Linked DNA regions of Nothobranchius furzeri. The protein of the gene in region 1 interacts with the protein of each later gene in a pairwise test. Links are inferred from orthologs where the notes say so. Each region holds a gene or a part of one and is shown on either strand. Other genes may lie near its edges. The genes, in order: aldh16a1 and dera.

Evidence for each region.
Region 2: the proteins of aldh16a1 (region 1) and dera interact in binary tests that used the Homo sapiens proteins (3 or more experiments, as listed by UniProt). The link is inferred for Nothobranchius furzeri from reciprocal best matches to the Homo sapiens genes ALDH16A1 and DERA.

What each region holds. Positions count from the first base shown.
Region 1 is NC_091752.1:71,354,909-71,358,725, forward strand, and holds part of aldh16a1 (aldehyde dehydrogenase family 16 member A1), read right to left. Parts: intron 2,924-3,817; coding exon 2,736-2,923; intron 2,665-2,735; coding exon 2,506-2,664; intron 2,429-2,505; coding exon 2,270-2,428; intron 2,007-2,269; coding exon 1,853-2,006; intron 1,407-1,852; coding exon 1,331-1,406; intron 1,255-1,330; coding exon 1,149-1,254; intron 1,080-1,148; coding exon 949-1,079; intron 868-948; coding exon 697-867; intron 1-696.
Region 2 is NC_091741.1:64,226,056-64,229,863, reverse strand, and holds the end of dera (deoxyribose-phosphate aldolase), read left to right. Parts: intron 1-2,106; coding exon 2,107-2,256; intron 2,257-2,446; coding exon 2,447-2,503; 3' UTR 2,504-3,034; downstream 3,035-3,808. UniProt on the Homo sapiens protein: Catalyzes a reversible aldol reaction between acetaldehyde and D-glyceraldehyde 3-phosphate to generate 2-deoxy-D-ribose 5-phosphate. Participates in stress granule (SG) assembly.

The DNA.
Region 1 (3,817 bases):
TATGTAAGCGGAGTACTCTGTGATAGTGAGTACTAGACGTATGTACAGTGGAGTACTCTGTGATAGTGAGTACTAGGCGTATGTAGGCGGAGTACTCTGTGATAGTGAGTACTAGGCATATGTAAGCGGAGTACTCTGTGATAGTGAGTACTAGGCGTATGTACAGTGGAGTACTCTGTGATAGTGAGTACTAGACGTATGTAGGCGGAGTACTCTGTGATAGTGAGTACTAGACGTATGTACAGTGGAGTACTCTGTGATAGTGAGTACTAGGCGTATGTAGGCGGAGTACTCTGTGATAGTGAGTACTAGGCGTATGTACAGTGGAGTACTCTGTGATAGTGAGTACTAGACGTATGTAGGCGGAGTACTCTGTGATAGTGAGTACTAGGCATATGTAAGCGGAGTACTCTGTGATAGTGAGTACTAGGCGTATGTAGGCGGAGTACTCTGTGATAGTGAGTACTAGGCGTATGTACAGTGGAGTACTCTGTGATAGTGAGTACTAGACGTATGTAGGCGGAGTACTCTGTGACAGTGAGTACTAGGCGTATGTAAGCGGAGTACTCTGTGACAGTGAGTACTAGGCATATGTAGGCGGAGTACTCTGTGATAGTGAGTACTAGTACCACTGTGATCTGTGTCGGGGCCAGCGGAGGTATTTGTGAGCATGTCTTCCTGTGGTGAAGCTCTTACCCGGGCTGGACCTTAACAGCAGCCTCCACAGCATCTCGAACATCCTTCCTGCCTCCATCAGGACACAAGGCCAGCACCGCGCTGCCCCCTGGTGCCCGCACAGCCATGGTGCAGCCTGACACTGATTTACAGGCTTTTCCACCAACAAACTGCAGGTAGGACTGAGGAGAACTGAGGGGAGACAGAGAATCTCTAAACTCTTCCTTAAACACTCCACCGTTTGTTTAAACCGATAAACTACTAAAACCACACCTTCCAGGCTCAGACGATTCAGGAATGAAAGCCTGCGACGGTTCTGTCCCAAACCGCGTGTAGTCCATGAGACCCGGAGCGGAGCGAGGAAGAGGAGTAGAACCAGACGGACGCAGAAACTGGTAAAGGCCCTGGATGAACGCAGAGGAGATCTAAATGTATGGAACAACACTGGAGCACCAGAAGAAAGGTTAAGCTACCTCCTGTCCTCCATCAGTGCAGGTGCCGCTGTCTTTGTGACCAGAGACAGGAAGACAGGGATCCACCACAGAGCTGGAGTTCACCCACACAGAGCCAACCGACAGACTGGGAATGACACAAAAAGTGTGAGTGAAACGACGAGAAAGGAGAGCCACCTGAGCAGAAGAACGACGAAGGACACCTGTGTGCCGTCTCCAGAGCCAGAGTCAGATCTTCGGTCCAGATGGACGCCGCGTGGCCGTGAGGGCTGTGGTTTCCTGAACACACCAGAGACCATCACCGCTGTAAAGGCCTTCCATCAAAGCTGCTGCTGACTGTCTCACCTGACGTCGCTGGCTTCACTAAAGGTTTGCTTTCTAAGTGGAAACGGTTCTCTGAGCCTGTGTGTGAAGCTTTGGTATCACCAGACCTGAAGCCCTGACGAATGACCAAACACAAACCCGTAACACCGCCCTACAACGCATCCCCACGCTTCTGGAATAAGCCGCTAAGATGGCAGACACAGCCCAGTCTGGACCGGTGGCTCAGCTCAGGACAGCGGCTGAAGAAGTCAGTGGAGGTGTAAACGGAGGGGGGCTAACGTAGCGGACTCACGGACACACGCTGCGATTCTGCTTCACGGCTGCAACAACAAAACGTTCTTCCCAGAGCAGACCGAAGCTCTGATAACTAAACGAGTTCATCTGGGGAGTCTCCTTCTTACCCATGACCACAGCCTCGGCGTTGCTCCTGAAAGTCACGACGGGCAGCAGCGGTCCAGGGGGGGGGCTGACCACGAACGGAGAGGAGGGGGCCGCACCACAGAGCAGCGTGGGGGGGTACTGGGAGCCAGGAGGGGGTGGGCAGGACTGAACCAACTGGGGAGAAAAGCAGATTTATTAGTGGACCCGAGCGGACGTCTGAGTGGATCTTGTTATTCCGTCTCAGTCCAGGCAGCTTTACGTTTAAGCTGGCGAGCTTATCGACGGGAAACGCGCCGGTTGAGTATCACTTACTGCTTTGTTGACTTAAACTAGGAGAAGAAGAGTAATCCCTCAGATCTGAGCAGATTAAAGTCTAACGATGACAGGTGACACCTCCTGTGAGGTCTAACCAGCTTTGTGTGAGGCTGAGCACCAACCGTGGCCCCCTGCTGCTGAGCCTCCTCTACTGCAGCGTCCACGAGGACTCGGTCTGCATCACTACGCAGGCTGACACACTTCAGTCCAGCGATGCGTAGCTTGAGACGGGCGGTGACACTTTCTGACACACTTTCCTGCACACACAGCACCCAGTGGACCTGAGCACAGAGAGAGATGTTAGAGATCCTGCTGCAACCGCTCCAGCTCCAGCTCTTCTTCTACAGCGGGTCGTCACCTCCTTCCTCTTCTTGAAGGCGGCCTGCACCACTTCATCCACAGCGCTGTCCATGTCAGCTGACTCAAAGATGATGAAGGGACAGACGGGCCCGATGCACAAGGAGACAGACACAGGAAGTCCCATCCCTGCTGTGGCCTTGCACAGCGCCGCGCCATCCTGAAGGACAACAGAAACGCTCTCGTGTGAAGTCACGGCTCAGGTTGAACTCCAGACCGAGTAAAACACACCTGTTGGTTCCCGCTGTAAGTCACGAAGCTGGCATTAGGGTCCTGAGCCACTTTAGCACCAAGAGTGACATCACTTCCTGTTAAAACATTAAGAGCTCCAGCAGGAAGTCCTCCTGCTGCCAAAAGCTGAGCCAAAAGGAGAGCTGGAGGGGCGGCGCTCCGACCGGGAACAGCGATCACGGAGTTTCCTGGAGAGATCCGAAACAACAAGATCTGGGACGAAGACTAAACAAGGAACGCCAGCGTGTGATTGGCTCGTTCCTGGGAAATACTAATAAGATCATAAAACAGAGATCATGTGCATGGTTGGGACTACCCAACGTGGGACCCCTCCCTAAAGCACACCAGGACTGTTTCAGCCCCTCACGTGCAGCACGACATTTCCAAATGACTGGAGGACGTCGGCTTGTTTTTCCTGTGGTTGAGGGGTTGAGCTGCGGCGTTTGTGCTGTGTCATTTTCTAAATTAATTAAAAGAGATTACAGATTATCTGACAATCCTAATCCAAAGATAACAGGCATCTCCTAGGAGCTGGGTCGACACCATGGACGCACCGAGTCCAAGTACTTATACTGGAGTGCTCACCCATACGAGTACTAATACAGTGGGAAAAAAGTACTAGGCAGCACCGATAGTGCGAGTTGTCATCAGCGTGTTGGAAACCTTTGAGGAAGATCATTTAAGTCAAGCGAGTTCAAAGTTTCACAATAAAATACGAGTTTGTTTTTTTATTGATCTAAAAATGTCATTTTGTGGCTCTCGAGTAGTTTCAGCTTGGTGCTTCTGGCCCGTTTTCACAGCTGTGAAGTTTCACCGAAAGGTGCTTAGAATGAAAATGTATTATTATTATTACAATTATCAATATTATTATTACTATTATTATTATATTATTACTATTATCATTATGATATTATTATTAATATTACTATTATTATTACTATTATTATTATTATTACTACTACTATTATCATTATTATTACTATTATTATTACTATTATCATATTATTATTATTATTACTATTATATTATTACTGTTATCATTATATTATTATTAATATTATTATTATTACTATTATCATTAT
Region 2 (3,808 bases), on another chromosome or scaffold:
GGCGGTTAGGGATGCTGTCAAGCTGAATTAAGAGTCCTATCAGGACTTTTTGGCCTGTGGAACTCCAGAGGCAGCTGACGGGTACCGGCAGTCCAAGCAGGAACATGGCTTGTGTGGTCGCCGAGGCAAAAACTCGGGCATGGGAGGAGTTCGGTGAGACCATGGGGCAAGACTTCTGTACGGCTTTGAGGAGATTCTGGTCCACCTTCCGGCACCTCAGGGGGGGAGAAGCAGTGCACTACCAACACTATCTATAATGGGGATGGTGTGCTGCTGACCTCTACTCAGGACGTTGTGGATCGGTGGGCAGAATACTTCGAAGACCTCCTCAATCCCACCGACATGTCTTCCAGTGAGGAAGCAGGGTCTGGGGAATTTGGGTTGGCCTCTCAAATCTCTGGTGCTGAGGTCACTGAGGGGGTTAAAAAGCTCCTCTGTGGCAAGGCTCCGGGGGTGGATGAGATCTGCCCGGAGTTCCTTAAAGCTCTGGATGTTGTGGGGCTGTGTTGGCTGACACGGCTCTGCAATTTCGCGTGGACATCGGGGGCAGTCCCACTGGACTGGCAGACCGGGGTTGTGGTTCCCTTATTTAAAAAGGGGGACCGCAGGGTGTGTTCCAACTACAGGGGGATCACACTCCTGAGCCTTCCTGGTAAGGTCTATTCAGGGGTTCTGGAGAGGAGGGTCCGTCGCAATGTTGAACCTCAGATTCAGGAGGAGCAATGTGGTTTTGGTCCTGGCCGTGGAACACTGGACCAGCTCTATACCCTTAGGGGGATCCTGGAGGGTGCTTGGGAATTTGCCCAACCAGTCTACGTGTGTTTTGTGGATTTGGAGAAGGCGTTTGACCGTGTCCCTCGGGGGGCCCTGTGGGGGGTACTCCGGGAGTATGGGGTAACAGGCCCTCTGATACGGGCTGTTAGGTCCCTGTATGACCGGTGTCAGAGCTTGGTCTGCATTGCCGGCAGTAAGTCGGGCTCGTTCCCAGTGAGAGTTGGACTCCGCCAAGGCTGCCCTTTGTCACCGATTCTGTTCATAACCTTTATGGACAGGATTTCTAGGCGCAGCCAAGGTGTGGAGGGGATCGTTTTGGTGGCCTGAGGATCAGGTTTCTGCTTTTTGCAGATGATGTTGTCCTGTTGGCTTCATCAGAATGTGATCTTCAGCTTTCGCTGGAGCGGTTCGCAGCCGAGTGTGAAGCAGCTGGGATGAGAATCAGCTCCTCTAAATCTGAGACCATGGTCTTGATTCGGGAAAGGGTAGAATGCCTTCTCCGGGTCAGGGATGAGGTCCTGCCCCAAGTGGAGGAGTTTAAGTATCTCGGGGTCTTGTTCATGAGTGAGGGAAAACTGGAGCGTGAGATCGATAGGCGGATTGGTGCTGCCCTGATGTGGGCGTTGTACCGGTCTGTCATGGTCAAGAGAGAGCCTAGTCAGAAGGTGAATCTCTCGATTTACCGGTCGATCTACGTTCCTACCCTCACCTATGGTCATGAGCTTTGGGTAGTGACCGAAAGAACGAGATCGTGGATACAAGCGGCCAAAATGAGTTTTCTCCGCAGAGTGGCTGGGCTCTCCCTTAGAGATAGGGTGAGAAGCTCAGTCATCCAGGAGGGGCTCGGAGTAGACCCGCTGCTCCTCCACATCGAGAGGAGCCAGTTGAGGTGGCTCGGGCATCTGGTTAGGATGCCTCCTGGACGTCTCCCTGATGAGGTTTTCTGGGCACGTCCAACTGGGAGGAGACCTAAAGGTAGACCCAGGACACGGTGGAGAGACTATGTCTCTCACCTGGCCAGGGAACGCTTTGGGATTTCCCTGGAGGAGCTGGCCCAAGTGGCTGGGGAGAGGGAAGTCTGGGCCTCTCACCTTAGGCTACTGCCCCCGCGACCCGACACTGGATAAGTGCATGAAAATGGATGGATGGATAGACAGGTTTTAAACTTGTGAGAAGTCACTTGGGGTTTTCCAATAACTTGTCTCCGAGTTGTCTGAGCCCTCAGGATCAGGGGTTTATAGGGTTGTTTCTCTCTGGTCATACTTGAGTACAGACCAGTATCTCGTGTCCCGTTTCAAGGTAAAAGAGTCCACCTGCTTCCTGTCTCTACAGGTGGGCTTCAAGCCGGCTGGGGGGATCCGGACGGCCCACGAGGCTCTGGTGTGGCTGACTTTAATCAAAGAGGAATTGGGCCCTGATTGGCTCTGTCCTCACCTGTTTCGCCTTGGAGCCAGCAGCCTATTGGCTGATATAGAGAGGCAGGTGAGGATTCAGTCTTTCTTTCACACACACACACACACATGCACGCACGCACACACGTACACACACACACACACACACACACACACACACACACACACACACACACACACACACACACACACACACACACACACACACACACACACACACACACACTGCTGCATCTCATTCTCTGTTTGTACTCACACAGATCTACCATTATGTGACTGGACGGTATGCAGCCTTTCATGAGCTGCCTATGGCCTGAACCCACACACGTCCTGATCCAGTTCTAATCAGAACCTCAGACACACCTGGTTAACTAATCAGTAAGCATAATGTCTATAGTCACATTTTGTTAATTAGAGTCCTGGATGTGTTTGGTCCTCTACATCCCACCGGGGGCTTCTGACCAGGACTTTTTTTCATCCACGTGTCCTTGGTACAGCATAAACAGAAAAAGACCCAAATTTGGTTTATTGTGTTTAGAAGAACCAAGCTGGGATTTAAGATGATTTGAGATGAAGAAGATCAGCACACGACTGTCACAAATCAGGTGTTTCAGACTCAGCTTTGCACCTTTCTGCTGACCAGTACCAATGCTGGGACGTCCATATGGGTCTAAAGCTCATCTCTGTGTGGTTTAGAGTTCCCCTGCTGAGTCCAGATTCACACCGACTACCAGATGGCTCTGGCTGAAGAGTAACATCTTCTGATGATCACAAAGATCTGATGTCATGTTGACTTAATGATTTAATCATAATTACAGAAGATAAATAAAGATTGACCCAAGTTTTAATGCCTCTCTCTTCCTTGAGTCATCCACGTCAGCAACAGTCAGTAAAACATCTTTAGTTGTTTGCTTAAAATAATGTCTAATCGTTATCCTTTTCTCGTTTTTAACTAAGTTTGAAATAAAAACAGCTAAATGTTCTGTATTTCATCTGACTTCTAGTTCTTATGAATAGCATCTAAAGGGGTTGTCACTGGTTAAATGAGGTTGTAAGTGTCTGTAGTGTAAAAGATTGTTTCTGATATAGAGTCATAGAGAATGGATAATGTACAGAAGTGAGTTTTATCAACATGTTACTTTGGGTTCAGTCATTACTGAACAGAGGCACTTGGTTTATAATAGCTGTTGCATTATGGGTAAACACCTCCTCTTTGGGACAACGACCTCTGGACTGTTTGGGTGAGCTTTACCAGCCTGAGCTGTCACAGAAGGAGGATGATGTTTCCACTCAGTTTAAAAATAATAAAATGAAACATTTTATTTATTGTTGCATTTTAAGTCACCCATGATGTTGTGGATTCTTGTTTTTCTACATTTGAGGGAGGTTTAATCATAGTCCTTTAGAACCTTTAGACATGCTTCAGCTCTACCAGCAAAAAGGTAAAAACAAGCTTGCTTACTCTGCATTAGTGAAGAACCAAAACAAAGGAATGACCTGAGATACTAGAAGGTCATTTGGTTATTTTGTTGTATAAACTGGACTGGGCCAGAACCATCTAGCACAAAGGGTACGGTTTCCTTCTAAGAAGACCGGGGTCCTTTAGCGTGTACAGAACATTG